4 linked regions of the Struthio camelus genome follow. The protein of the gene in region 2 interacts with the protein of the main gene of each other region in a pairwise test. Links are inferred from orthologs where the notes say so. Each region holds a gene or a part of one and is shown on either strand. Other genes may lie near its edges.

Region 1 (6,863 bases), about 24 Mb from region 2:
AACAGTATAAACCCTAACTGCTCTATGAACATATGGAGAATAACACATAAATCAAAGTGAAAGCACTGGAATATAAAAACCCACAAGGTTACAATAGGTTGCATCAGAAACTGTCCTTTAACCAGTGCATTAAAACCACCCTTAAACAGTTGTAACGTCAGCTGATGCAAAACAACAGTTTCATCAACTGAGCCACTGAAAACGTGTTCCTTTTAGGAGAACTGTACCTAGGGAAAACAGCCACAGCTTGCTGAGTTCACTGTTCCTTTATCTTCACCTGCTCAGTTCATTGCATTTTTGCCTTTGAATAAAGCTAAAAAAAGGTGCAGAAATGTGTAAGTAAAAAGTTAAGTAATCTCACAGGGGCCAAGCAGCCTTGAGAAGAACTACCATGCATATACTGTTAGGATATGCTTTGACCTATCTACTTTGAACGTGGATTTTATTAACTACTGTGTATAATAATAACAATAAAAAGGTCTTTCCACGTGAAAGTTGTACTTAACAACTAAGTAAAAAAAAAAAAACTAAGTAACTTTAGTAAAAACTAAAAAACAAGCAAACTGCCTGTATTAAAAACATTCACAAGCAGTGAATGACAGAACGTGTTCACTTTAAAAGTGAGGCAAAACTGTAACTATATAATTTACTCCTACCAGGGAGCTAAAATAATTCACTGTAGCTACTCAGTAAGGCGAAGTAACTGAAGAACTGCAGTTTGCAACCACTTTCACCATTGTTCCACATACACCACTAACACCTGATCAATGCTACCTCATGACAAGTCAGAAATCCCTAAGAAATCCTTACTGAGAGCTAACTTGAAACAGATATTCCTGAGAGCCTGAAGAAAATCTGCATCTCCTCCTTTCAGAGCAGTTTCATTTCAAGACCTACGGCATGTTGTATGACTATGCAGAACACAGCAGCTACTTTTCCAAAAACCTGAACTTGAAAGGGGGATCATACACTACAAATCTTTTCTATACATGGTACAAATTAATGCCACTGACATGGATGTTTCAATACCTTTTAAAAACTGGTAACATTTACCTGCAATGAAAAACTTGCTGTTATGCTTTTAATGTTTCTCTCACCTTGTTAATACTACTACACGATGCGACGATAACAGAAAATAATTTCTTTCAAAAGAAAAAAAAATCACATATTAGCTAAACTACCTCAGGATGCAAAGAAAATTATAAGCAGTCAAATTATCAAGGGTACTGTCATAGGCTACCAACTCAGCTATAGTAATCAACTGCGCACGCGCTCTTATTCTGTTTTGCTTTATACTGTTTAAGCAACTATGCTGCACTTTTCATAGGAGTCAAACGTACTTTCCTTCACGACTATGAAGGACACGTCCACTATTATCATGGCTCAGCTGACAAGATGAGAATATGGCTGCTTGCAGTGGTCTGTCCACACTCCTTCTCCTATCCTTGTCTTGCAGATATGGAGATGGAAAACATGCAACTCTATCTAGGAAAAGTGACAACTGTTTTCCACTGTTATATTTTCGTCCACATCAAAGCGTTAACATAGTACAAATGCAAAACCTTCCATTACCTTTGGCCCCATGGTGACAGCTACAGCATCTGCTAGAAGATCTACTCCTTGAAGCATAAGAGCTCGGGCATCTGCTCCAAACTTAACATCTTTTGCATATGCTCGCGTTAGATGGGGGGCCAGTGCTCTGGACACTGGCCTTGTCCGACGGAGTAGTGTAGATAAACGAAGCATGTCTAAAAGATTAAAACACCACCACAGAAAGATATGAATACCGTGTCCTTTGCACGGCGACTTTTAGAATAAAAAGGGGAAAAAAAAACCTCCCAAAATTGAGGTAGTAAAGCAAGTGACCATGACCTTTCATTTTCCGATTGTTTCGAACGCAGACATACAATTACCTGAGGGTAAGAGAGCTCGGGCGCCCAGCTCCTCAAGAGGAGACCTCAGCTCCAGCAGCTCCTCATGGAGCAGCCTCCAGCACCTCTGAGCTCCTCCCGCCTCGCTTCTCCCGGCTGTCGGGCGGGAGATGGCCAGGGCGCTGTAGCACACAAGCCGTTCCGTTTGCCAGACGGATCCATCCCCTCAGGCAGCACCACTTCACCGGCAAACGGGGGCGGCCGCGCGCACCCGGGCGAGCGGGGCGCTTCAGGGTAGCGCCCTGACGGCGCGGCCCGGCGAGGCCCCAGCGCCCGACCCTGCCTCCCACGGGCAGCCCTTGCTCCGGGGCGAGAGGAGGAGAAGCAGCCGGGCGCGGCCGCGGCGGGCAGGAGAGGGCCGCCGGCCACGTGTCTCCTTCCATCAGGACACGCGCAGCAAGGTCAACAGCCGCTCGCCCCCTGCCGCCGGGCGGGCCGCGCTGCAGCGCCGCGGGGCCGCCTGGTCCGCCGCGACCCCCGGCCGAGCACGAGCACGGGCGCGGAGCGCCCCTCCCCCCGCCCCCCCCCCCCGCCGCCGCGGGGGGAAGCGCACGAGCCGCCGCAGGGCCCCGGGCTGGGCGCGCGCACGCGCTGGGCGCAGGCGCGCGGCCCCCGTCCGCAGCGCGCGCCGCTCTGAAGGCGGCCGCAGCGCCCCGCGTTCGAATCGCGAGAGCCGTTGCAGGCGGCGCGCGCCCCTAACGGCCGCAACCGCCGCAACGCCCAAAAGGCAGAGGGCAAGGGGCGAGGGGGCTGCGCACCCGACCCACTGGCATCCCCCCCGTCCCCGGGCAAGGCCGCTCCGCGCCAGGCCGAGCCCGGCCGGGCCCCGAGCAGGGGCAGCCCCACACGCTCACCTCTGTGCAAGGCGGGGGAGAGCGGCAGGCGGCTCCGCCGTCCGGACTCGAAGCGGAGCGGGCAGATCTGCGCGCGAGCCCGGGAAGGCGCTCAGCACTCACTAGCTCGGCCCCTCCCCCGGCCAGGCAGCCACCCATGTGGGGCTCCGCGCGGCCCAGCCCGGGAACCAGCATAGCCGCCGCGGCCCCGCCCCTGGCGCGGGCGCACGGCCGCAGCGCTGCGGCGCCGCCCGCCCTCCGCGCATGCGCCCTGGCGGCCCGGCATGAGCCACTCAGGTTCCGGGGCCCGCCAGTTCCAGAACCTTCTGGAACGCTCATGCTCGCCGCGGGTCAAAGGTGACGTGACCTCACTTCCGGGCCGGCGCGGGGCCCCGGGGCCCGGCGGGCCCCGTGCGGCGCGGGGCGCGGTGCCGTTGCAGCGGCGGCCGCCCTGCGCGGGGGCCGCGGGCCCGGCGGGGAAAAATAAACGGCGGAATCGCGGCTCGGGGGGGCGGAAGGGCTCCGCCTCGGGGCGGGCCGCGCGGGGTGGGGGGGAGGGTTGCCGCGCGCATGCGCAGGTGGTGACCTTTTTCACGTGTGCGCGGCGCAGGCCCGGGTCACTCGGTGGCGGGGAGCGCGGCGGCCGCCATGGTGAGTGAGTGCCCGCCCGGCCGCCCGCCCGCCGCGGGGGCTGCGAGGGGCCTGTGCTGCTGCCGCCGCTGCCTAGCAGCGGGCGGGGGGCCGCGGCTCTGCGCCGCCCGGGGGCCCTGCAGCGCCCGCCACTGCTGCGGGCGCCTCCCCGGGCCGGCGGCGGCGGCGGCGGCGGGGGGGGTGCGCGGCGCGGCGGCTCGGCTCGGCGGGCGCGGGGCCGTTTTGGGAGCCCGTTGGGAGCGCGGCAAGGGCAGCGCGCCCTTGGGGCGAGACGGGCCGCTCGGGAGCCCCGCGGGCGGGCGGGCGGGCGGGGTGCGGCGCGGCGGCCTGGCCCCCGAGCCTGGTGGCACAGAAGCCAGAAAGGCGCTTGGGGGTTCAGCGCCTGTGCTTGGCGAGCTTGTGCGGGTGGAGCTCGCCGCGAAGAGCAGCGGGGCAGGGGCAGGGGCGCCCTTACCGTGGAGCTGGAATTTTTTTCCTGTGTTCGCATTTTCTAATTCGGTGTAAAATATCCGTGTTCATAAGTCTAATTGCTTATTTCCCTTAAGCACAGGTCACTTGAAAAATAAATGAAGCTCAGAGCTGTTGTTTTCATAACTGGCAGCCTTTTCCATTTGTGCGGGTTTTTTTTTCTTCCACGTTGTAGTAGTAGCAAGTTTTTTTGGGGGGAGGGGGGAAATGGGGACAGCATCTTTTGTTTACTGGGCTTTGTGTTTGTCCTGCCTGTAACTTTTGAGGCATTCCTGATTTTTTTTAAAGCATGAGAGTGTATAACGATGGGTCTCGGGGAAGGGACCTTGGATGCTAGAACCTTCTCTGAGTGGGCTCTGGATACCTGTCTAGTGGAGCGCTATCTCCACGTGACTTGGCAAGTCTCCAGACCTTTGCTCTTCATCAAAGCATGTTCCTTATCCCTGACTCTGCACTTGCATTTAGTCTGTGAGAATGCAGCTACTGTTGCTGAAATGCAGCCAGTAGCAGCAGTAGGTAGTAGCAAAAAAGTTAACTCTTAAGCAGAGGTAGCTGTTGACTAGTTTCCTACATGAAGGAAAAGCAGCCAACACACAAATGTGCCTAGCTGCTTATTCTTGGGGGTTTACAAAAACCTTCACTTTTTTGCAAAGTTGTAGTCTATTTGTAGAACTCAGTAGAAAAAAACTACACTCTCACTTCAGACTTCAAACTTTAGAAGCTGTAAATTGTTATATGAAATGCTAAGCTTTGAAAATACCTGAAAAATACACACAGTACATGCTAGATTTTGCTTTTTTACTATTAAACGTTCCAGTACAGCCGATAAAAATGCCCCCAGAAAACTAGCCCGAGAGGTCCTTCATTAAATCTGGTTGTGACTCAATAAATACATTTCATATACTCATCAATAGTGATGCTAACTAAATTACAGGAGCACTAACGGTTTAGAATCGAGCAGCTTAAAAGCTGATGGAATTTTCCAGCCAAATGAGAAGGCAGCTCCATCTGGTGGTGATTTATGATGTTAGCTGGAGTACATCTTTGTATGGCTGAAATCTTAGGACTGCCCAGGGTGTGCCTGTTAATTCTGCTCAAGAGAGAATTGTTTCTAGGCTTGAGATACAGAACACCTGCGGTTCAACTTTGCTTGTTTCTTTAACTTTTTTTTTTTTGCTGCCATTAAAGGTTGCATATACTTGCCACTATTAAGAACAACTACCCAGCATCTTTCTTAAATTCTTGACTTCTCTTGGAAGATAAACCACTGTGAGGGTTTGAACTTTTTTATTGCCATTTTTTTTTTGTAGTGATCTTCCTGTTACAATATACAATTCCTTTCACAGGCAGGAAAGGCATTTAGGAAATTTCTTCCCCTCTTTGATCGTGTTCTGGTTGAACGATGTGCAGCTGAGACTGTAACCAAAGGAGGCATCATGATTCCAGAAAAAGCTCAAGGGAAAGTGCTACAAGCAACAGTAGTGGCAGTTGGATCGGGAGCCAAAGGAAAGGTAAATGGATCCAACTTTGGGTAGAGTTGGTAATGGTGTGGTGGTAGCTGGAAGCTTAACATAAAGGGATCGGTTGCTGTATAAATTTGGTTACACTTCATGACAACAAATGAGGATGATGAGATTCCTACCGCCTCTCTTGAGTCTGCACTTCAAACTTCACTCAAGTGTCCACCCTTTCCTCATTGGCTCTGACCTTGAATTCCAGCCTTCCTCTTGCTTCTAAAATGGGAAATAATGGCTTTTCAAAAATGAATGTTATTTATTGATATTTACAAGCAGCATTAAACAGTGGGAGGCTTTTTCAGTTTTGAATACTTAAACTATGATTTTCTGGGATGCCTTGTCTGATCACCTTTCAGGTGAAACGTATGGGATTGGCAGCTTTATTTCTTCAACTGCTGCTGATCGCATGCCTGAATTCCTGTAATTTGTGAGCAGGGTGGAATCCCAGAATGTGGTATTCTGTGTCTTAACGCGGTGCAAAATATCGTTGCCCGTAAGCATCAGTTAGGCTTACTGGACAAAAAGAAAATTGGGAATCAAAAATAACTGTTAGGTCAGTTTTCTTGAATTTTACGTGTTAAAAAAACAGGTCTAGGATCATAAAAAGGATAGTGACAGTCTTGACTTCGTTTCATAGTCTTAATCGGCCTGTGGGCTTCAACGTTTCAAGTTTTTTTCCCCACCAAAGAAAGTATCCATTTAGTAGTAATAGTGCGAAATGTGTTTAAAATTTAACTTGTGCATGTTGACTCAGACTCTTTCTTTACCTTGAGTCCTTCCATAGATACTGAGACAAAAAGCATGATATCTCAAAGCTTTATATTGTGAAATGGTGCTAATAATTGACTAACTAGCTAATAATTTATAATACGAAAACATAAGTATAGACTTATGCTTGGAAATCTGTGGTAGAGTTTAATAGATCTGCCAGCAATACTGACAAGTTAATCAAAGTAACAAAGATGAGAAGGCGCTCTTAACTGTCACTTCAAGAAATTAGCCTTGGTCACAGAATAGGGAAATGGACTTTCCTGATTGCTTTAGAGGGGGATTTCATGGTCTGTCACTTAACTTTTCAGACTTCTTAAAGCGAAGTCATCCTCAAAATGCCAAGTGAAGAGTTCAGTTTGCGTTTACACTCAAACTAACGGAAGTACTTTGCATTCAGGAAAATCCACTGCAGTTCTGCTGTTGAAATATTGCAGGGTTCTGATGCTTGAGAATTGACTGGGGTGCTTTTATTCCTAGGTAACTTGCGCATTCTAGTTTTCACTGCGTAACTAAAATGTAGTTACTGTGATTGCTTGAGTGTTTTATGTGGGGGAGGATCACTATGGTTTGAAGGAATTCTTGCCATTAAATCAACCTGTTTACCTGTTTTTTAAAAAAAAAAAGTTTTTCTTCTTTTCTTTCAGAATGGTGAGATTCAGCCAGTAAGTGTAAAAGTTGGTGAAAAGGTCTTG
Region 2 (7,754 bases):
ATTCCTCTTCTTGTTTAGTGAGGGCACAGTAAGAAACAGTCAGGCTGCACAGTCCCTTTGAAATTTGTTGCAGGTTAGTGTTACCAGCCAAAACTGGCAGACCCAGCCACACCAACACACTCAAGTGAGGGGCGTTTGAGGCCTAAGAATTGGCAAAGCTCTGATTTATAGTAGAAGTATGGAGACCTTATCATAAGAGACATAGAGTACTTCCAAAACCTTCACAGAAGTAACTGTAAAGCTTTACAGTAAGCCTGCAGTTAGCAGCTGCAAATACTACTTTTCACAACTGAAAGATTTTTGTTGTTTCTTTAAGATCACATTTAACAATACTAGAATCCCAGAATGAGATCACCCTGGTAGACGTTGGAGTTCCAGACTAAATAGTGCATCATTCTCTTTTCTTTGCTGACACCTTGTGTACAGTGGCTGTAATTTTCACTTTTCTCCAAGGATTTAAGCAGCTCACTTTTAATATACAGTAAAAGTTCATTGAACTCACATGCCTTTACAAGGCACAAGGATTCATATTTCAACTGGCACTCCTAAGGAACTCAGTTTTTAAAAAAATCAAAATATCAAAAACCATTATTTTAAAATGTGCTTCTTCATTTAATGTTACATCAGTATAACAGTGGAAGAAAATTGCTTACTGCTGATCCAGAAGAGACTTCGGAGCTCTTTTGCAAAACTGGCAAAACATTTTGTTTTGAGTGGCAACACGCTGCTGCTCCTCCATCCCAACCTTGTACAGCTCCCTCTGCAAACGGGCAATAGTCTCTTCCTGTTCTTGCAGCTTTTCCTGTTGCTGTTGGTATTTTGCCTGTGAAAAGGGAACGGGAGCATTCCGAAATTATTCTGACAAACAAGCTGGAGACAGTGCCATACATGCCCAAGTAGGCACTTGCTCCTAAGGAAGGTGAGTAGTTTTTTTCTAGCCATGCTGAAGAGACAGTGGAAGAAGGATGCATATGTTTTTCTAATCTATCATTAAAAAATTTCCATAGAGCTTGAAAAATCTTAGCTATAAACAGTGTAGTAACTCTTAAGACAAAAAGATTTGCATTTATTTTGACCAGTGTCACTATTTTTAAAGCTTTTAAATAAAAGTCAAAAGTTTGAGTCCTCAAACAGGTTTACCAGAATTACCTGTGAAATCTGCTGATCTTTTTGAAGTTCTTTGACCTGATTCTGTTGCTGGCAAACCTTAGCTATTGTCTCATCTTCCAGCTGGCAAATTTTGGATTTTATGTTCTTCACCACGTTTTCCAAATCATTAGCCCGTTGTTCTTGCCGGGATGCTCGACCTCGTTCCTGACGTACCTCATCTCTAACAAAAAGAAAAAAAAAACCACAATCCTTGATTTAGAATAAATTAACTTCACTAAATACAGTGAAGGAGACACAGGCCTAACAGATTTTAGCTGTTAACACTCAATAATGGGCCATGTGAGCAGGTATGGGAAATATTTTGCTATGGGAAGAAGCAGCAGATGAAATGATAGAAAAATGCAGAAGAAACCAGGCCAACATTGCCACTTTCCACAAAAATCCCAGGAAAAAGGTCTTGGGCCTCATGCGTGGCAGCAGCTCCACCTGGCAGAGAACGGACACTGACAATATTTTTGGCTTGCATTAGAAACAAGTTCCTACCACTGAGTCTTACCTGAGCTGGTGATTAGCCTCCATAAGCCCATGCATCATTTTCTGTTGTCGGTCCGTGTCTTCCAGCAGTGTTTGTAATGCACATCTTATCCCCAGAGAAGACTGATTGTCCAAGACAATCATATCTGGAAACATTCAAAATAAACAAAGTCACAGTGAAAGGCATTTGATAACTGGAGAAGACCACATCTCTGCTGGCACTTGCAAAAGACAGCTTTAAAGACGGTTTATGAACTTGGGCTTATATTTTCATATACAGAAACTTGTAAAAACAGCATGCCCTTACCTGATATACTTCTGCTGTTTCCTGGGGCAGCAAAGCTCACAGGTTTCAACCCATGGCGCATCAAAATTTTGTTTAAGTTTTCCCATTCTGCTTTCTCCTGCTGCGTTTGGGAGAAGGAGAGACAACAACCTGAATGCTGAAGATCAGCTTACGGTCTCCTATTTCTCCTAGCTGTGTACACGGTAGAAGATACCAAATGCCCCCATATCAAAAAACAACCACGGTTTGCTACAGGAGGGTTGAAAGACTTTCCAAGTATGATCTGCAAAAATATTAGGAAAAACACACTGGACAGTTTACAGATTATCCAGTTTTCCCGGTGAGTATTTTTAAATGCCTTTGCAAATGATCTGCAAACGATTAAAAGAAAAAAAATACTTTCTGGAAAAAATACATAAATATATACAAAATGAAAGGCACTCATCTCATACTAATATTTTAACGCGTACTCCAGGCGGCGGGGCCTGCTCCCCTCCCGTCCCGTCCCGTCCCGCCCCAGGGCCCCAGCACGGTGCAGCCAGCTGGCGGGTGGCGAGTTCTTCAGAGAAATACCTATCTGTAGGTGTGTGCGTGCGTGTATAATATATGTACATACATATATTTAACCTCAAAGTAGCATCAATCAACCAGACAAACAAACAGCTCAGGTTCATTACTGTACCTCCGTCATTGTGAGGGATTTCTGTTCAAATATGCAGAAAGAGCAGCCCGGGCCCTGATCTGAAGCTGCCTAGGGATGAACACGGGAGGGGGGAAAAAAGAAAGAAAGAAAGAAAAAGGGAAAGTCATCAGGCCTCGGGAAAGAGGACCGCCGAGAGGCGCGGCGGGGCGCACGGAGGCCGCGCCGCCGCCAGCAGCCGGCACTGGCGCTTCAGGCCGCCAGCAGCCGGCACTGGCGCTTCAGACCCCCACAGCCGCCCTCCCCGCCCGGCCCGCCGCCGCAACGGCTCCGAGAGGGCCGCGGGGCCGGCAGCGCGGCAGGAAGGCACCCAGCGGGAGGCGGCCGAGCGGCGCGGGCAGCCCACTACCGCCTCACGGCGCCGGCTCGGGGCGGGCTGCGGCTAACGGCCGCCGGCGGGGGGCGGGGCCGGGGCGCGCGCCGCGCCGCCATTTTGAGACGCTGAGAGCTGCGAAGGGAGGGGGAGACGGAGGTGGCGCCGGTGGGGGCTGCAGCGGCCGGAGCCCCGCGCAGGTAGGAGACAGCGCTGGGGATGGGGGCGGCCGGGGCCGGGGCCGGGGCTCTCCTGTCCAGCCCGCGGAGGCGTTGCGGTCACCTCGCTGCCCGACGCTGGGAGGCGGCGGCGGGGGGTGTTTTGGCCGCGGCGCGGCCGGGCTGAGGGAGCGGCGCCTTGGAGACCGCTCGGCAGCGGCGGGGCGGGAAGGGGGGCGGGGGGGGAAGCGGTTTCCCCGGCCTGGCGGCTGCTGGAGCGGCCTCCAAGGCCCTACAGCGCTAAGTGCCGCCTGGCAGCGGCCAGAGCTAGGGTGGGGGGGTTTGCTTTGCCCGGAGTCCCAGGGACTGATTCAAGGCAGTAAGTAATTTTTCTTATTTTCCCTTTTTTTTTTTTTTTTTTTTTTTGCGGGCCGGTTCTGCGGTAGAGGTTTTCTTAGTCAGTCAGCGTCTCCTGCGTGCTGCTCTCACTTTATGCTCCATGGGTATTGCCCATCCTCTAGATAGGGTGAAGCTGACCTAGAGACTGGGTTTTGTGCCCAGATTTGATTCGAAAAGCGTGTTACGAAGTGATTGGGGGAGGAGACTGTGTAGTTTCCGTTATTTTGTAGCCTTTTCAATATTGATGCTAAATTAGCTGCTAAACTTCATAGGGCCGGGTTGCATGCCACCGCAGGGGATGCAGGGTCTGCGAGCAGGCTGGAAACGTGCTCCGGTTCCACCTCTTTGGCACTTTTTGTAACTTGAGGTCGCTGCTGTGTTGATAAGATGGTCGAGGCAGGCGGCGTAAGTCTGTCCTGAGCCAGTAAGAGTCTCTTTCTCTTTTTTTAATCCTTAGAAAGGAGGTGCAGAAATAATAACCGTTTCCCAACTTCCCTGATGCTCCAGAGGATAAGAATCTTTATGGAAACCAAACTGTAAACTTCAAAAGCAACAAAAAGACCCCCTTGTTGTCATTATTAGTTGACATACACAACTCACAAATGGGAGAATTAAATCCTTATATTCTTAAAAATGAACTCACAGTCTTTGGAACTTACTTTGCAGTTCACGAGCAGAAATTTGTAGGGTTGCTGAGGAAAAAGATAATAAACAGTAATATAGCAATGCTATTGAGCTTGCTTTAGAGCAGAAACAAGTTACACTGAAGGAGGCCTAATGTTAAATGCATTAACTATTATGCTCAAGAGAGATCCTAGAACTCATGACTTGACTTTAATTCATTTTTTCAAGGAAAAGTACCATTTATTTACCAAAAATGAGTTATTTGCATTGAATGAAATTATACCTATTGGTAGCTACTTTGGATTAGAGCAATAGGCCATGTGTTGGAAGAAAAATAGAGTACAGTATTCTTATGCTTTTATGTTCCACCGGCTTAAATGATTCTCTGACAACTGGGAGGTCTGTTACAGCTTATGTGATTAACAGTACAGTTTAAAAGACAGCTTTTAATGAAAATAGATCCTACACAAACTATTGTGTTTAATGAAAAGGATAAGGATTAAAAACAGGTTAGCAGTGTTGTAGGAACACATAAATCACTACTTCTTACTTAGAAGGCTTTTTGATGGTGCTTGCATTGTTTATTTCTGGTAAATACAGATTTTTATGGTTGAATTGCCAGGTCAAATTGCTACCATGACTATTGAAAACTGCTACAGTGGTTTAGCAAAGCTATTAAGTCGAAATTGTTGAGTCTGGCTCTGGTGCTTATGTTTAGAGGTCTGAGACAAGAACAAGGCTTCCACTTCACTCAGGATTTGAATATTGCACTGACTGTGGACCATAAGGACTCCTGCATCCTGTCTGCTCTCCCAAGCAGTATTTGATATCCTCTTCTCGGGCACTATTTCATTTTGCCTCTAGTGGCAATGGTCTCCGGTGTGTTACAGTTGGTGACTGAGCTGTGAAGTTCTGGATTTGGTTCCTGTTTTGGTCAGGTCCGTTTCAAAACTTTCTCTCGTAAATCGGGCAAAGTACTTTTCATCAAATACATGACAAAGCTAGGCTGTGCTAATAAAGTTAGGAAAAATCGCCCATACTAATTTTGTAAAGTAATACTTCCAAATAAACTTGTATTTGCCTTTTTGTCTAAGAGGAAAAAAATCACATATATGAATAATACATGATAGTTCATCACACTTTTTTAAAAAGATCTATAATCTTAAATGGAGAAAACTAGGAAAATCTAGTTCTCAATGCTTCTCTATTGCTATTCAGCTTTTCTTTTTTTCTTGCTGCTAATTGGATTAAGAGCTGTTTTGATTACTATGGCATCCTGTGAGGAGATTACTGTCGGTGAAGATGAACTAAGGTAAAAAACAGAACTGCAGCATGAACAGGTTTGAAAAGATATCCACAATTTCAGCAGTCACTTAAGAGTTTACCTGAGTTTTAAAAACCACTTAAAGAAAGGATATCTCAACATCTCTTCCCCCCATTGGAAGGAGGGAGGGGTAATATGTATGTGCATGCACAGTTGCATTTCTGAATGATGTAGGTAATATTTATGAAAAAGGTTACAGACAAATTTTTTAATAGCTAAACTGGTCACCCTAACTAGTTTGCAAGTTTAAAAGGCTAAAACACTTTAACAGACCAGTTAGCGTACTGTATTAGTGACTGCCAAGAAATCACAGAACTGTCCATAAGCATCTGGAATGTAAGTGTAGTTTTTTAACTTTGTTGTCATCTGCCTTGGAAGTTTTAGAGGTTAGATGGATGTATGTTCTTGTATGGTATTAGTCAAAGTGAACCTGTTTACCTGTCTTTGTGCTTATTTTTTGTGACAAGTTTTATCATATTTGAATGTTTGGTTTTTTTTAAGAAAATAAAAAAATTGGTTACATTTATTCTTTCAGATCTCACTTTTTCATTGGTAAAAGGTGACTTGCTATAAAGTAGTAAAGCTTTCAACTACATTCAGCAATATTTGAACTCTCTCAACCACAATTAATGTACTTTGTTGGTGTTTCTGTAGGTCCCGGTACAGCCATTTAGAGAAGATGACAGATCTGGTGGCCGTTTGGGAAGTAGCTTTAAGTGATGGTGTTCATAAGATTGAATTTGAACATGGGACCACGTCAGGAAAACGTGTTGTCTATGTTGATGGAAAGGTGAAATTACTATATGCTCAAAATTCACTATGATACAGACTGTGTAAGTGTGCTTCCATGCAGAATGCATCAGAACAAACAAAAGACTAATAAATGCAAGTGAGATGTATTTGGTTGACTAACTTTACGTAATCTAATAGACTACATAATTCTCTTCTCAGTTACAATTAAGGTGTGAGTCTTCATGAAGTGCTTTGCAGTCCTTGGGCAGAGGCACTCTGTACATGCAAAATATTATGAATTCGTACATACTGAAATAATAGTTAAGTACTGGGCTGTTGCCCAAGTTCTAGTTCAAAATGTCTCAATCCTGAGACATATTCAGGTTTATTAATTAATACCCATTGTCTTTGGCTTTTTTTCCTACAGGAAGAAATAAGAAAAGAATGGATGTTTAAATTGGTGGGTAAAGAAACGTTTACTGTTGGAGCAGCTAAAACAAAAGCTACTATTAACATTGATGCAGTCAGTGGCTTTGCGTATGAATATACGTTGGATATCAATGGGAAAAGCCTCAAGAAGTATATGGAGAACAGGTCAAAAACAACTAATACTTGGGTACTGAGTTTGGATGGCATGGAGTATAGAGTTGTTCTAGGTAAGTAAATATTGACTTCATGTTGTTGCCTTTGAATAAACTTGTGTGCATTTAATAACTGGCAGATAAGAGAAGGTATAGTTCAGGCTAGCACTGTTGCAGTGCAAAATCCTGGGTAGTCTGGAAACACTTAATTAGATGCTAAAGACAACGATCTGAAAAAATAAGGGTCTGGTTACATCTTTCCTCTTTCGTCCCCCTTTCCCAAAAATACTACAAGCAGATGGGCAGAAGGAAGCTACTGGGAAATTTGTGTCCATTGCATCTAGTAGGGGAAGCTTCTTGGGTGTTGCTGCAAGGTTAGAGCCAGAGATGAGATCAGGGACTATGTTTTTTTTTTTTTTTTTCTCCTTTATTAAACGTAAGGACAGAATGAATATCCTAAGATCAAATAAGACTGGGGGGGGGCAATCTTAATATATGACAGAGCCTGCAGCCTGCTTGGTTTTCCTCACAGTTTTAGTCTCCTTGTATTTAATTAAAAGGCGAGCAGGGTTCAGCTCTCTAATCATTGCCAGTGGAGGGCAGTGTCAGTAATGTGAATTCTAGAGCTAATGAACTTAAGAAGGTTGTACTGGGAAAAATAAAATAATACTGTTTGAAACAGTACAATTTTAAGATTCTTCATATTATGGTATGGATGGAACTTGAGTTTTCAAGGAGATCTTAAGAACTCTGAAACTTTGTGGATATTAAGTAAAGCTGCTCTTTACTTAAACATACCTCAAAGAAGTTAAAATTGGGATTTGATTGAATAAACACTCCTTAAATAATTGGCACAGACTACTTCATTTTTCTATCCTCAAGTTCTTCAGTTTGAGGATGCCAGAACATCTCTGACAGCATTCAGAGCAATCCACTGTTAACAGCCAGAGCTAGGGAGAGGTAAAAATGTATGTTTATAGCAAAAGTTGCTTG
Region 3 (7,444 bases), on a different chromosome or scaffold from region 2:
TTTTCTTTACGAGGTTATGAAACAAATTTCAAACAAAATTGTATTAAGATATGAACGACTGCTGATGACGATTTTTAAGAGGAACTGATGCCACAAACTAACTCAGTCTAAGTCACTGGGATTGCAGGGGCTCGGAATCTAGGAAAACCACATACAATATTTACTAGATCCATGGTAGCATGTAAAAATTTCTTTTAAGTGTCAGTAATTGCCTTACTACTTATGGCATGTGTAACAAAAACTGATACTGCAAATTTTTCCAGTACTGAGTTATGCTTCTATCTTTTGTTAATGGTACAAACAACGCATTTTATACTGCCCATGGTTCTGTATCTACTGTATAAAGCTGACTAAGTATCATTAACCTTAATATTGATCTGGTGTTGTTAATACTTGAGTATTTGGCATCCTGAATGTAATAGCCTGCCCTCGCATTTTCACTATGCAGCTTTTTTTTGTGCTTATACTGTGTACATTTTACTATACTTGAATTTGAACTAAGTTTTAATTGCTTTAAGGCACTTTAAACAGGGATATGAATTTACCAAAGTAAATGATAGCACTACAACAAAAAGTAATAAAACTGAGTTTGCCCATGCTTTTTTTGTGAGTTTGGCATATATGTCTCAAGAAGAAAGGAGTAATAGAAAAATAGAAAAACATACAATAAAAGCAGTTGATAAGCAAATCTGTAGCACTGCAGCTGAGTGTTTTTTAAAGCTCTTCTCTACAATTGGTAAGACCCATATTCCCTAAGAATCTTTATCACAACATGCATGCAGGGTGTGTATTCTTCTTGGACAACAACAATTATTCTTTTTTGCTAAAATCCAGTAGCCCTGACTACATCTCAAGTCCTTTGTTCTGAGCTCTGCACACAAAAAGAAGACAGACAGCATCTGGCATACACACTTTACCATCCAAAAGACAGCAGAGAAGCAGAAACAAATAGCAAGTACGTACATGCCTTTTACCACTGGGTGTTTGGCTTACTCTCTGAACCACAATACTTGTGCTTTTAGCTTATCTAGTGCAACTCTAGATTTTTCACTAATGCTGGAAGCCTTCCCCAGCATAGTACAGAACTCATATCTGACCCAACCCTGCAATGCAATGTACGCGCTATTTTGAAAGAGAAAAATTACTGTTTAGATCTAGAGTAATCAACTTGGCCCGGGAAACTGAGTACATAGAAAAAAGGTTGACTTTATTGATACACGTTATTTTGTCCGTATAAGGGCCTCACGGGTTCTGAAGCCATTTCCCCGACTTTAACAACCGTACAACTACATCATGAGCTGTCCCATGAACGAGAAATTTATTTTACCCACGTAAGTTCCCATTATATGCCACTGAACTCAATTACTCATAAAATACACAACTCCTGGTTGATGTTTGAAACAACTGGGTCAAACCCCGTTATAATGTTTTATATTTACAAAAAGTGCCACTGAGAATGCCATGCGGGCATAGGAAAAAGCAGTATGCACAGTAACATCTTGCCCTGATTTCAGGTCACTTTAAAGTTGAATTTAAAAATGCAATATTGAAGCCTAATACTATGGCAAAGAATTCTTCACTGCTAAGATGCTAATTAAATTTAGACAAGCTGGGCTATTACCATCTAACACCTGCAAACGTCTGCCGTAAAAATGAGTTTGATTGTCTCAACCTACTTGCCACTGAATATATGTCCTAATTACAAAGCTTAAGAAACTGTTGCTAACGGAAAAAACAGAAGTCTCAGAAGTCGGATAAGAGCCAACTATGTAGAGCCCGTCCCCCCAATTAAAGAGGATGTTATATAAATAATTTTATTACATCAGTAAAACTACTCATGTCATGCAGTACATTGCAAAGTATACTACAACCTCTGATGCCAGAAACTGTCCTCCTCAGCTAAGTGAAAGGCCATGGTATGACTACAGATGACTTGGATATCCAGGTCTACCAATCTAGTAACTGATTCATATGAATAGCAAAATGAAAAACATAAAACATAAAGCAAGCAATATATTGCTAATTTTGAAAATATATATAAATGATTCGGTTCTATGAGCATGGACAGTGATTATCAGGAAGCATACATGAAAACCATATGAAATATTTCAAGCTGCATAAATTTAGAATTGACCTCATCATTTTAAAATTTCTATGCACAGAACACAATTACACCTTTCTTGCCAAAACCATACCAAGTTCTGAATAGGAAGAATGAAAATGTCATGCTACATGCAATAAATGTATCTTTCAATGTAACTTCAAGGCATTCTCACTCAGCTGAACACCTAAGGAAAATAAAAGGCTTTTGAGTCTCAGCGACAGGTGCAGTCGTACAACAAACTCCAACCACTTCTTCAAACTCCTCTTTGTCTCGCTCCTCACATCTTAGTTTTCCTAATCATTTTTGTCTACTTGACTGAATATTTGATATCGCTAAAATTTAATATTTGAAATCACTGAATATTTGATATCACTGAAATTAAATTTGAAAGCAGTGTCTTGTTAGCAGACATCCGAAGGTTCCTGCTAAATTCAAAGCATTAGCTCTATTAACATTTGACCTGGGAAAATGAGAGTGGAATTTAACTAACTGTCAAAGAGGACTATAGATGTTAGCAAGAAAATACATAAACTAGAACGCTGCACAAAGTGTTGATGCAGAAAGAACGAACAGAATAGCCTTTCACGAAAAGTCCCCTTTGCCTAGCAAGTGCAAAGGTCAAAGACATGCTACTGGTCAGCGCTGACTTCGTTCTGGGCATATACAAGCGTACAGCGTATAGAAACAGACTCTTAATAACTACTTACTAGGAAACTGTCTTAGCATTTTATCAGCAAAATCAAGTTATTAATAAATTACAGAGGAATGCATGAAGCAGTCACAGCCAGGAATAAAACTAGGTTATTTTTAACAAGTATTTTCTCACCTGTTCTTCACAAACTTCTATCCACGTGAAACTGGTGGACTAAAAAGAGGCTGATCTAGCTGACTATCTGAGGAATCTTTGGATTCTTACATTCTTTTAATTACCAAATGGAAGTTGCAGATTATTCTATTGTTCTTCAGCAAATTTCCACCGTGGCCATAGATAGCATACTGTAAGCAGATGAGGGCAGAATCATTGTCTCTGTGTTCACAGAAATGTGCTTATTTAAGAACAAACTTGTTTAGATAAACAGTGCGCATCAAGAAACGGGCCTAACTTGCAGTAACACAGGATCCTATTCAGTTAGGTTTTTTTCAAAAAAACAAAGATGTTTCTGCGTACTGTCTTAGCAGGAACATCCACTGTTTGGCTTTCCTTCAGATGCCATATCGCCAGGCCCACCCAAATCTTCCTTCATAGGTGTCTAGAATTTTATCTTATTAGCCATATGACAGCATTTCATTTCCCAATTTTATATTTTTATTTTGAACTCAGTCACTTTAACAATTTTCACTGTGCAAAACCATCATATGTGGAACACTGAGGTCTGAAACTGCTCTGCTCCTCAGACATTCAGAGCTGCAAGGTGTATTGTGTTCTGTATTTGCAGGCTTTTTACCTGCATATATGATACCTTTGCATATTCATGCAGTAAATCGTTCCGGATTACTTCAGAGCTCCCTAGTTCACAGTCTTCTATGACTCAGCTGCTAAGTACTTGAGCTGGTCAGCCCGATATAGTCCAAAATTAAAGTTTGCACAGATTTATAATTATTTCCCATAGGCCACATGTTTAGTCTTCGCTATGCTCATCATCATGCGGTTCTTGCAGGCCGACCTGTTTCCTCTAGACCTTCTTTTGCCTACGCCCTTCCATCGACCCAGAAAAATCTTGTTTTTCCCTCACAGCACCTTAAGCAAGAGCAAACTTTGGGCTAAATTCCGTTGCCGCTCAGCTTCTCTTCAAAGCCATGCCCCTCCCGGACCGTGGCTGCAGGACGGTCCGGCCCACTCTAGACACACGGCTCCTCGGCGCTGCCGGGACAGGTCACCTACGCTCCTTATCCCGCTCCTGAGAGACATCGAGGCCCCGAGGCTGTAGCGCAGCAGCGCCTCTTCCAGCCGCTCCCCCTCCCCCTCCCCTCACGGCCGTTTGCGCTGCGCCCGGCTCTTCCCGCTCGTCTCCTGTCCCGTCGCCGCCGCCCCGCGCGGAGGGACTCGGCCCGGCCCGGCCCGGCGGCCGCGCTCCCCCTCTGAGGCGACGCGAGCCGAAAAGGCGCCAAATGGCCGCCGGGCGCGTGGCGGGCGCGAGGCGCCAACGGCCTCACCTCCCCCGCGCCTGCCTGGACGTTCTCAGCCGCAGATTCGCCACGCGGAGACAACGCGGCAACCCGGCCGCCCGCCCCTTCCGCTCGCCCGCCGCGGACCTGCTAACAGCGACCCGAGCGGCGGCGGGCGCTACCGAGCCCCAGCGGAAGGGCGGGAAGAAGGCTACGCTGGGTGTGGAAAGTGCGGAAGGGAACGCGAGGCAGGCGGGCAGCCCCGCCGGCTGAGAAACCACCCCGCTGGGGGAATGGCGGGGCGGGGCGGGATGGAGCCGCGCCTGCGCGCAGAGCCCGGCGCTGCCTTTACCCTCTGTGTGCCGCAGATTCGCCACAATCCGCTCCGGCTTCCCTTCCTCCCGGCGGGTTGCGGGCGTGCGGGGAGGGTCTGTGCCCGGCGGTGACACCGGAGGGGAGACGGGCAGCGCAGCGGCCTCTCCGGTAAAGCCCGAGCAGCAGCCGCCGCCGAGGGCGGGGCGGAGGCTCTGCGTGTGGAAAGTGCCGAGGCGCAGGCGCGGCCCGCGCGGCCTCCCCCAGCCCTGTGGGGAACAAAGGGAGCGCGGCCGGGGCCGGAGCCGGTGAGTCGGGGCGGCGGGGCCCGGCCCGGAGCTCGCCCGGCCCGGCCTCCTCCAGCGCGGGCTCGCGGCGGGGGCAGGCCGAGGGGGTCGCCGAGGCCTGGGGAGCCGCGGGCGGGAGGGGCTGGGAGGCGGCAGGCCCGGCCCGGCCGCCTCTCGCCACCGGGCGTTGGGGGGCCCTGTCCTGGCTGCGCTGCCTCCGGGGAGGCGCCGGGGGTCCCGCCCGGCGGCGGGGGGGGGGGGTCGAGCGGTGCCTCTCGGGCCGGCTGCGGGTCTCCCGGGAGCGGGCACGGCCCCGTTTGGAGGCAGCGGGAACGCTGGGCCGGCTTCAGAGACCGGCTGCTCCGTGGTGCACGCAGGGGCCTTTCTGCCCCGTTGAACTTCGTGAGCGTTTCGGTGCGAAAAACGAGGAAAGGTCAAAGCGAAGACCGCTGTGCCGTCACGTAGTGCCAAAACGGGCCTAACTTCTATTGAAATCTTGATGGACTTCTTCTAAGAGGAAGGCTGAAAGAACACTGCTTTATTGCTGTGTGTTTCCCTGACACGCTTACGAGCTTGATGCTGAATGAGATTAAATCTCTCACATCCCATAGCCGATGCTATGAAGAACCCTATAGCTTCTATCATGTTTGGTGATTACTTTTTCCTGTTCCGTAATGGAAATATTTAGTGAGGTCGCTCATACATTAAGACCAGGTTTCTGAAGCAGGCTGTGTAAAATAGTGATACGTATCCTTTTTATTGCTTAGGAAAAAAGTTATACTTAAAATCTGTATCATGGAGATCACATAAACCTGAATCACAGCTGTTTAAGGCCAAACTCCTTGGAAAGCACATTCATGTTGCAATAATATATCACCTATAGTTTTCAGAAACTTTGTTTTGTTTTTGTTCCAAAATTTGCAAATCTTCTTTAGTAATTAATGGTAATTATAATTGAAATTTCAAAGAGTTGGGAAAGCTTAACATTTAATAGCATAATATTCTTTTGTTTTTCAGAATTACAAATATAATGTCAGGTGGCTGAAAATTTGCCTATCAAAATGTCAAGTAAGTTTTCAGATTTTTCTTCCTTTAATTTGGTGAATTAAAGATCTGAATCAGCAAGAACCAAACTGTGAGATAATTCTGTCATTCCTTGTGTGAAAAGGAATGATTCTGACCAAACTCTTGGCCTTAAATCTTGCTTGTGGCTGATTTCTGGCATCTCAGGTGTGATTGGACCTTAGCCTGTTCCTGCTTATTTCTAAAGCATACTATAACATATCAAAGACTACTTTTTGAGTACAACTCTCTGTTTCCATAGACAATCCAGATATCAGTTTCTCCTAAATGATGTTTCACTACACTTTTGCTTACCCTCTTTTTAACTGATCTTCATTTAAATATGTTTTATAGTCTTTAATCTTATGTCTAAATAAAAGGCTAGCAATCTGGCAATGGCGTGGGATTTTTTTTCTCCTCTCTCTCCTATCCTTTGTTTTACAATCTTCAATGACATAGTGGAAAGTAAGTCTTTGAGGCCAGGATCTCTGTCTGTCTTCTGTAAATCTTTGAAGTGTTTGGGACTCTGGATGCCTTATAAAGAATTCATTCGCATTTTCAAGAAAAAACTTTCTGCTTGCATTTATCTTTCAACAGAAAGGCCATCTTACGCCCCACCTCCTACCCCAGCTCCCGCAACCGTAAGTATAGTGATTTTTCTCATTAACACAGATCTGGTGATATGGCCTTTAATAACTTACCACAGCCCTGGGTCGGAAATCATATTCACAGCTTGTGTTGCAAAAATATACTGGAATATTTAAGAACAGACTGATATACACTTAATTCTAAAATTTCATGCCCAAAGCATGGGCAAAGCACTATGTGTTTTGGTGTTTCTGTGGTACCTACCTAGCTGACTTTCAGTGGAATGCAGGGGCATGCAAATCTTTGTTATATTGGCTCAGAATAACAAAACGTTCATGATGACAGTCTTATTCAAACTTCTTGAAATCCTTGGTATTTTTGGTCTGTTGCATGAAAAATATTTTACTGTACAGTCTGGAATGACACTTACAGAAACATGAGAGGTGATTTTGAATCATGTCCAGTTGTGTACATTTAAAAAAAAAAAAAAAAGGTACTGAAATACCAATGTCCTGAGGTCAGAAAAGCACCTGAAAGCAAATGAATCTTATGTAGCATTTGCATTTCTATAATAGCTTGCCTTTGAGGATTAATGCATTGACATGAGAAAGTACTAATCTTGTGCAAAAGAGAAAGTAAGGATGCTAGTGAAATTACTGACCAAAGAAAATTTGAAAACTGTTATCCAGTGTTTTTCGTCTGTGCCTCTGGGATGAAAAGTGCAGGATGGGATCTAGATGAAATGTAAAGTCTGGCGCAATGAATTTAAAGGATCACATTTAAAAAGGCTTGGAAATGCTATATTGTATAAACATAGATTGTTCTTAAAAACTTATGAAAATAAAATATTTTACTGCTTTTGGCATAGTTTGTTCAGAGTTTTCATTTTGCACACAGCTTTATAGATTGTGCGAATATTACAAAAACTATGATGGTATCTGCTCTTATAACTGGATTCCTGCATTGAGAACCAGGCATGCACATA
Region 4 (7,780 bases), on a different chromosome or scaffold from region 2:
GGCCGGGGGCGGTTCGGCCTCGCCGGGGCCGGGGCCGGGCTCCCTCTCCTTGGGCAGGTTAAAGCGCAGCGTGATCTGCACCGGCACCGGGAGGCTCTTGCCGCTGGCCGGAGCCGCCGGCGCCGCCGCGTCCAGGCTCTTCCTCTGCGCCGGCGCGAGGAAGAGGAGCAGAAAGGGGGGCGGTGAGGGACCCTCCACCCTCCCTGTGGGTGCTGGCACCCGCCCGGGCCGTGGGGTCGGGGGGCGGGGGACGGGGGAACGGGGCCGGCCGGCAGCCTCCCACCCGCTTCCCCTCCCGCCCTCCCGGCGCGGCAAAGCGAAGCGTCCCGGCTCCCCGGCGGTCCCTCGTCCCCGATGCTCCCCGCGTCCCCCCACGGCTCCCGGTGGCTCCCAGCGGCTCCCGGTGGCCCCAGCGGTTCCCCGGTCCCCCGAGAGCTCCCGCGTTCCCGACGCTTCCCGGTGCCTCCAATGGCCCCGATGGTTCCTGGTGGCCCCCAGCAGCTCCCGGTGGCCCCTGATGGCTCCCAGTGGCCCCCGATGGTTCCTGGTGGCCCCCGATGGCTCCCGGTGGCCCCCGATGGTTCCTGGTGGCCCCCGATGGCTCCCGGTGGCCCCAACGCTTCGCCTAGGCCCACTGGCTCCCGTGTTCCCACCAGCTCCCAGTGTCCCCAGTAGCTCCCCCGGAAGCAGCAGCTCCCGCGTCCCCAACAGCTCTGGTGTCCCCAGTGGCTCCCAATGACCCCACTGGCTCCCAACATCCCCAGTGGCCCCTAACGTCCCCAGTGGCTCCCAATGACCCCACTGGCTCCCAACATCCCCAGTGGCCCCCAACGTCCCCAGTGGCTCCCAACGTCCCCAGCGACTCCCAACGTCCCCAGCAACTCCCAACATCCCCAGTGGCTCCCAACGTCCCCAGCGGCTCCCAACGTCCCTGTTGGCTCCCCCGTCCTCAGCGACTGCCCTGCGTCCCCTACGCTTCCCAGCGTCCCCAACGGCTCCCAGTAGCTCCAACAGCTTTAGGTGTCCCCCCAACCGAGGAGCAAGGGACGTCCGCGGAGCTCCAAGCGTCCCCAACGGTTCCTGGTGTCACCGTCGGGTGCAAAAACGTCCCCGGGGCTCCGTGCGTCCCTAAACTCTCTGCGTCCCCGCTAGGACCACAAACGGCCCTGACTGCAGGTGTCCCCAAAGCTTCTAGATGTCCCCAACTCATCTACGTGGCCTCTCTAGACCCGCAGACGTTTCCGACACTCAAGGTGGCCTTCCTGTCCCCCGAACGTGCCCTGAACGTCCTCGCTGTCCCCCGACCCCAAACGCGCCCCTGAACTCGTCCCCGAGTCAACTTCGAGAACGTCCCCGGGGCTCGAGGTGTCTTCTCCCGGCTCCGTCGGACGTCCCCGACAGCTCTAGTGAACCCGCCCACCCCCCCCAACCTGGGGGCGTCCCCCCCCCACCCCCAGCGGCGGCGGGGCCGTCCCCAGCGGCGGCGCCCGTCCCCTCACCACGTCGCGCTCCGGCGAGCCGGGCCGGGAACCGGGCAGGCCGTTCTTGGTGGGCGTCTTGGCTTCCTTCTTGGGGAACTGGATCTTCTTGAGGTCCAGGCGGTCGTGGGTGACCCATTCGTCCAGGCGCTTGTTGACTGGGGACGGCGGGAGGGGACGCGGTGACGCGGCGGCGGGACGCCCGCCCGCCCGGCTTGCGGTCGCCCCGGCTCTCGCCCCGAGGCTCTCGGGGGCCCCGTGGCCTCTTGGTGGCCCCGTCCCCTCCTCGGTGGCCCCGTCCCCGCCGCGGTGGCCCCGTCCCCTCCTCGGTGGCCCCGTCCCCCCCCAGTGTCACCGCGTTCACCCCCCCACCCCAAAACTCACAGTCGATGTAGTGGACGTAGAAGAGCTTGCGCCCGCTGATGTCCTTCACGCTCAGGATCTCGGCCAGCGCTGGGGGGGGCGGCGGGGAGGGGGCGGCAGGGGGGGAGAGGGGGTCGCCTCCCCCCCCCCACCTCCCCCGGGCCCCCCGGGCCGTGACCCCCTCATTGGGGCACCCTCGAATCCCCCCACCCCAAAGGTTGCCTTTCCCCCCTCCGAAATAGCGCTTCAGGCCAACGCAGGTTGCTCCCCCCGCCCCGATATTGCCACCCCCCTACCCAATTACCCCCCCCACAAGACCCCCTCTCCCAAATTTCCCTTCCCCCCCCCCAAAACGTCCCTGGGGGACCCCAAATATCTCCCAGTCTCAAGTCCCCCCCCCCGCTGTCCCCAAAATCCCCCAAACGCCCCCAAAACCCCCCCAGGGACCCTCCAATCCCCCTGAGCCCCCCCCCAAATCCCCTTGCCCCCCCCAAATAGGGAACCCCGGGGGAGGGGGGACAGCTCCCCCGCCCGGCCCCGCCCCCTCCTCCTGGCCCCACCCCGCCCCGCAGCAGCCCCGCCCACTCCTCCTCCTGGCCACGCCCCCTCCGCCCCGCTGGGCCTCCGTGTCGTCCCCCCGCCCCGCGCGGTGGCCCCTCCCACCCTTCCTCCTGGCCACGCCCCCGCGATTGCCCCGCCTGGCCCCGCCCACTCCCCTCCCGGCCCCGCCCACTCCCGGCCCCGTCAGTGCCCCGCCTGGCCCCGCCCACTCCCCTCCCGGCCCGGCCCCGCCCTTCCGCGCCCCGCTCCCGCGGCGGCCCCGCCCCCTCGCGCGGCGGCCCCGCCCCCGCTCACGCCACTCATCCTCGTTGTCCTGGTTGCGGCGCAGCACGGGCAGGCGGCAGCCCTCGGACACCTCCCCCTGCGGGCGGCGCGGCGTCACGGCGGGGGGGTCCCGGGGTCCCGCCGCCCCCCCCTCCGCCGCCCCCGCCCCGCCCCGCCCCGCGCCGCCGCCGCTCACCACCTCCGCCATCCTCGGCCGCAAACCGGGGCCCGCCGCGCACCGCTTCCGGGTCGCCGCCCCAGCGCTTCCGCCTTCCGCTCGCTTGCCCGCCCCGACGTCACTTCCGGCTTGCTCGCCGCCCGCCCCGCGCCTGCGCATGCGCGCGGCGGGAGACCGGGGGTGGGGCTCGCTCGCCGGGCGCTCCTTCCCGCGGTCCTCCCGCTAGACTCTATGGTCGCACTATGGGTCCCCCCCCGTTATGGGTCCCCCCATTATGTGTCCCCCCATTATGTGTCCCCCCATTATGGGTCCCCCCGTTATGTGTCCCCCCGTAATGGGTCCCCCCCGTTATGGGCCCCCCCATTATGAGTCCCCCCCGTTATGTGTCCCACGCCGTTATGGGTCCCCCCGTTATGGGTCCCCCCCCGTTGTGGGTCCCCCCGTTATGGGTCCCCCCGTTATGTGTCCCCCCGTTATGGGTCCCCCCGTTATGGGTCCCCCCCCGTTATGGGTCCCCCCATTATGGGTCCCCCCGTTATGGGTCCCCCCCCGTTATGTGTCCCACGCCGTTATGGGTCCCCCCGTTATGGGTCCCCCCCCATTATGTGTCCCCCCGTTATGGGTCCCCCCATTATGGGTCCCCCCGTTATGGGTCCCCCCCGTTATGTGTCCCCCCGTTATGTGTCCCCCCGTTATGTGTCCCCCCATTATGGGTCCCCCCGTTATGGGTCCCCCCCCGTTATGGGTCCCCCCGTTATGGGTCCCCCCGTTATGTGTCCCCCGTTATGTGTCCCCCCCCGTTATGGGTCCCCCCCCCCGTTATGGGTCCCCCCCATAGGTCCCCCCGTTTTCGGTTCCCCCACATCCGTTCCCCCTCCTTTTGGGTTCCCCCCCCCCCATTATGGGTTCCCCCCCCCCGCCTGGTTTTGCGCCTCTTTTCGCCTCCCTCCGCCGGCCGCAACTGCCCGCCGGCCCCTGCCGCTCGGCCCCGCCCCCTCATTTGCATGGGGGCGGGGCCGGAGCGCGGAGGGGGCGGAAGGGGCGGGGCCGGACGGGGCGGGGCCAGAACGCGGAGCGGGCCGGGGGCGGGGCCGGGGGCGGGGCCTTCCCGGCAGCGGGGGGTCACGTGGGGCGGCGGGGCCACTTCCGCGAATGGCGACGCGGTAGCGGCGGGGCCCGAAGCGGCGGCGGCGGCGGCGGCGGGACCGGACGGTCGCGCCCGGGCGCGGCGGCCCCGCCCACCCCCCTCTCGCCCCGCCCCCACCGGCACCGGGGACCCCCCCCACCCCCCTACCCCTCCCCCCACCCCTCCGCCCGGCCAAGATGGAGAACGGTGAGTGCCCCTCCCCCACCCCCTTCCGCCGGGGGGGGGGGGGCGGGTCGAGGCTCCCCGAAATCGGTGGTTCCCCCCCCCCGCCTCGCCGGTGACGTCAAGCCGCGGTGACGTCAGGGGATCCCCCCTACTCTCCCCCCGCTGGCGGCGGCGTCAGTAGGTTTCAGGGTTAACGCGCGCGGTGGGGGTGGGGGGGGGGTCCCCCCGTCACGTGACGCCGCGGCGTGCGCGCCCCTTCGGTGCGTTACGGTAGCGGCGGCGGCGGCGGCCTTCCCGCACTGCGCCTAATAGCGGCGCGGCGCGGCCGTAGAGCCTCGAAGAGAGGCGCAGCCGGTTTCGTCTCCGCTTTCCTTCCCTCCCTTCCCCCCCATGGCGCGGCAGCTGGTTGGGGGGGGGGCGGGAGGGGGCCCCGGCGTCCGGGCCGGGCTCCCCTCCCCCGCTGACACCCCCGCTCGTCTCTCCCTCCCCCCCCTCCCCCCCGCAGCCGATCTGCTGCCCTTCCTCCTGCAGCAGGACTGGGGCCTGCAGGGTGAGTGGGGGCCCAGGCGTCCGGGGTCGGGGGGGGGGGTCACTCGGACACCTGGGCCCCTTTTGGGGGGGGGTTACCCGGATGCCTGGGCCCCCTTGGGGGGGGGTCACCCGGACGCCTGGGCCCCTTTGGGGGGGGGGGTCACCCGGACACCTGGGCCCCTTTTGGGGAGGGTCACCCGGACACCTGGGCCCCTTTTGGGGGGGGGGGTCACCCGGACGCCTGGGCCCCTTTGGGGGGGTCACCTGGACACCGGTGCCCCTTTTGGGGGGGGTGTTGGGGTCACTCGGACACCTGGGCCCCTTTGGGGGAGGGGTCACCCGGATGCCTGGGCCCCTTTTGGGGGGGGGTCATCTGCACGCCTGGGCCCCTTTTGGGGGGGGGTCACCTGGACACCGGGGCCCCTTTTGGGGGGGGGTCACCCGGGCGCCTGGGCCCCTTTGGGGGGGGTCACTCAAACACCTGGGTCCCTTTTTTTGGGGGGGGGGTCACACGGCCACCTGGATCGCTTGGTGGGGGGGGGGCTCTCCCGGACGCCTGGGCCCCGTTGCAGAGCCGGGGGGGGTGGGGGGGGGCTCTCCCGGACGCCTGGGCCCCGTTGCAGAGCCGGGGGGGGTGGGGGCGGGGGGGCTCTCCCGGACGCCTGGGCCCCGTTGCAGAGCCGGGGGGGTGGGGGTGGGGGGGGCTCTCCCGGACGCCTGGGCCCCGTTGCAGAGCCGGGGGGGGGCGGGGGGGGTGGGGGTGGGGGGGCTCTCCCGGACGCCTGGGCCCCGTTGCAGAGCCGGGGGGGGGCGGGGGGGGTGGGGGTGGGGGGGCTCTCCCGGACGCCTGGGCCCCGTTGCAGAGCCGGGGGGGCGGGGGGGGTGGGGGTGGGGGGGGCTCTCCCGGACGCCTGGGCCCCGTTGCAGAGCCGGGGGGGGGCGGGGGGGGTGGGGGTGGGGGGGCTCTCCCGGACGCCTGGGCCCCGTTGCAGAGCCGGGGGGGCGGGGGGGGGGGCTCTCCCGGACGCCTGGGCCCCGTTGCAGAGCCGGGGGGGGGCGCCCCCTTCGTGGAGATCATCGAGCAGCCCAAGCAGCGGGGGATGCGCTTCCGCTACAAGTGCGAGGGCCGCTCGGCCGGCAGCATCCCCGGCGAGCACAGCAGCGACACCACCAAGACCCACCCCACCATCCGGGTGAGCCCCCAGTATAGACCAGTGCGCACCAGTATAGACCAGTGCGCACCAGTAACCCTCCAGCGCCCTCCCCGCGCCCCCCCTGGGCCCCCAGCCCCGGCGAGCACAGCAGCGACACCACCAAGACCCACCCCACCATCCGGGTGAGCCCCCAGTACAGACCAGTGCGCACCAGTATGCTCCCAGTAGCTCCTCCAGGGTCTCCCAGTAGCCCCCCAGCGGTTGGGGCTGGGGGCTTAGACTCCCCTGGACACTTGGGTCCCTCCCCGGACACCTGGGCCCCGCCGGACAGCTGAGCCCCCCTGTACACCTGAGTGCCACCCGGACGCCTGGGCCCCTTTCCGGACACCTGGGCCCCTCCCCGGACTCCTGGGCCCCCCTTCCCACCCACCGTAGCTGAGCGCGGAGGTTGGGCTCTGCCCGGACGCCTGGGTCCCTCTTAGCGGTTCTAACGCCCGGGTTGGGAACACGGGGGCAGAGGGGGGTTCCCGGACGCCTGGGCCCCTCCCCGGACGCCTGGGCCCTTGGCGCAGATCAACAACTACCGGGGCCCGGGGCGAGTGCGGGTGTCGCTGGTGACGAAGGAGGCGCCGCACCGGCCGCACCCCCACGAGCTGGTGGGCAAGGACTGCCGCGACGGCTACTACGAGGCCGAGCTGGCGCCCGAGCGCAACGTGCACAGGTGAGCCGGACGCCTGGGCCCCTTTGCGAGCCGGACGCCTGGGCCCCTTTGCGAGCTCGGATGCCTGGGCCCTTCGGGGGAGAGGGACGGAGAACGGGACGCGGCGGCCGCTCCGAGGCCGAGTTGGTGCTCGAGAGTGACGTCGCGCGGGTTGCCCGGACGCCTGGGCCCCTTCTCGGGTAGCCCGGGCGCCTGGGTCCCTTCTCGGGTAACCCGGATGCCTGGGCCCTTCAGGGTTTGGGGCGCGCGTTAAGTTAGGGACCGGACGCCTGGGCCTCTCTTGGGTAGCCTGGATGCCTGGGCCCCTTCTCGGGTAGCCCGGATGCCTGGGCCCTTTCTTGGGCAGCCCGGACGCCTGGGCCCTTCAGGGTTGGGGCACATGTTAAGTCGGGGACCGGATACCTGGGCCCTTCTCGGGTAGCCCGGACACCTGGGCCCTTTGGGACTGGGGCGCATGTTAAGTCAGGGACCGGACGCCTGGGCCCCTTCTCAGGTAGCCCGGACACCTGGGCCCTTCAGGGTTTGGGGCGCGTGTTAAGTTAGGGACCGGATGCCTGGGCCCTTCTCGGGTAGCCTGGACGCCTGGGCCCCTTCTCGGGTAGCCTGGACGCCTGGGCCCCTTCTCGGGTAGCCTGGATGCCTGGGCCCCTTCTCGGGTAGCCCGGACGCCTGGGCCCTTTGGGACTGGGGCGCACGTTAAGTCAGGGACCGGACGCCTGGGCCCCTTCTTGGGTAGCCCGGACGCCTGGGCCCTTTGGGACTGGGGCGCACGTTAAATCAGGGACCGGACACTTGGGCCCCTCTTGGGCAGCCCGGACACCTGGGTCCCTTCTCGGGTAGCCCGGACGCCTGGGCCCTTCAGGGTTTGGGGCGCGCGTTAAGTTCGGGACCGGACGCCTGGGTCCCTCTTGGGTAGCCTGGACGCCTGGGTCCCTTCTCGGGTAGCCCGGACGCCTGGGCCCTTCAGGGTTTGGGGTGCGCGTTAAGTTAGGGACTGGACGCCTGGGTCCCTCTTGGGCAGCCCGGACACCTGGGTCCCTTCTCGGGTAGCCCGGACGCCTGGGCCCTTTCTTGGGCAGCCCGGATGCCTGGGTCCCTTCTCGGGTAGCCCGGACGCCTGGGCCCTTCAGGGTTTGGGGCGCGCGTTAAGTTCGGGACCGGATGCCTGGGCCCCTCTTGGGTAGCCTGGACGCCTGGGTCCCTTCTTGGGTAGCCCGA

Evidence for each region.
Region 1: the proteins of CEP70 (region 2) and HSPD1 interact in binary tests that used the Homo sapiens proteins (3 or more experiments, as listed by UniProt). The two-hybrid records come from large-scale screens. The link is inferred for Struthio camelus from reciprocal best matches to the Homo sapiens genes CEP70 and HSPD1.
Region 3: the proteins of CEP70 (region 2) and SMARCE1 interact in binary tests that used the Homo sapiens proteins (3 or more experiments, as listed by UniProt). The two-hybrid records come from large-scale screens. The link is inferred for Struthio camelus from reciprocal best matches to the Homo sapiens genes CEP70 and SMARCE1.
Region 4: the proteins of CEP70 (region 2) and KAT5 interact in binary tests that used the Homo sapiens proteins (3 or more experiments, as listed by UniProt). The link is inferred for Struthio camelus from reciprocal best matches to the Homo sapiens genes CEP70 and KAT5.

Annotation. Positions count from the first base shown.
Region 1 is NC_090947.1:11,797,309-11,804,171, reverse strand, and holds the start of HSPD1 (60 kDa heat shock protein, mitochondrial), read right to left. Parts: upstream 3,017-6,863; 5' UTR 2,786-3,016; intron 1,749-2,785; 5' UTR 1,747-1,748; coding exon 1,573-1,746; intron 1-1,572. Other genes in the region: HSPE1 (10 kDa heat shock protein, mitochondrial), read left to right, coding at 3,413-3,415, 5,230-5,394, 6,816-6,863. UniProt on the Homo sapiens protein: Chaperonin implicated in mitochondrial protein import and macromolecular assembly. Together with Hsp10, facilitates the correct folding of imported proteins.
Region 2 is NC_090947.1:35,546,532-35,554,285, reverse strand, and holds the start of CEP70 (centrosomal protein of 70 kDa), read right to left. Parts: upstream 3,004-7,754; 5' UTR 2,622-3,003; coding exon 2,613-2,621; intron 2,052-2,612; coding exon 1,952-2,051; intron 1,791-1,951; coding exon 1,667-1,790; intron 1,331-1,666; coding exon 1,150-1,330; intron 824-1,149; coding exon 654-823; intron 1-653. Other genes in the region: FAIM (fas apoptotic inhibitory molecule 1), read left to right, coding at 5,393-5,436, 6,103-6,238, 6,608-6,836.
Region 3 is NC_090966.1:7,066,624-7,074,067, reverse strand, and holds the start of SMARCE1 (SWI/SNF-related matrix-associated actin-dependent regulator of chromatin subfamily E member 1), read left to right. Parts: upstream 1-4,437; 5' UTR 4,438-4,830; intron 4,831-5,826; 5' UTR 5,827-5,870; coding exon 5,871-5,877; intron 5,878-6,468; coding exon 6,469-6,512; intron 6,513-7,444. UniProt on the Homo sapiens protein: Involved in transcriptional activation and repression of select genes by chromatin remodeling (alteration of DNA-nucleosome topology).
Region 4 is NC_090976.1:906,225-914,004, reverse strand, and holds the start of KAT5 (histone acetyltransferase KAT5), read right to left. Parts: upstream 3,012-7,780; 5' UTR 3,004-3,011; coding exon 2,863-3,003; intron 2,764-2,862; coding exon 2,697-2,763; intron 1,932-2,696; coding exon 1,863-1,931; intron 1,637-1,862; coding exon 1,500-1,636; intron 145-1,499; coding exon 1-144. Other genes in the region: RELA (transcription factor p65), read left to right, coding at 4,168-4,177, 4,662-4,706, 5,732-5,880, 6,414-6,562. UniProt on the Homo sapiens protein: Catalytic subunit of the NuA4 histone acetyltransferase complex, a multiprotein complex involved in transcriptional activation of select genes principally by acetylation of nucleosomal histones H2A and H4.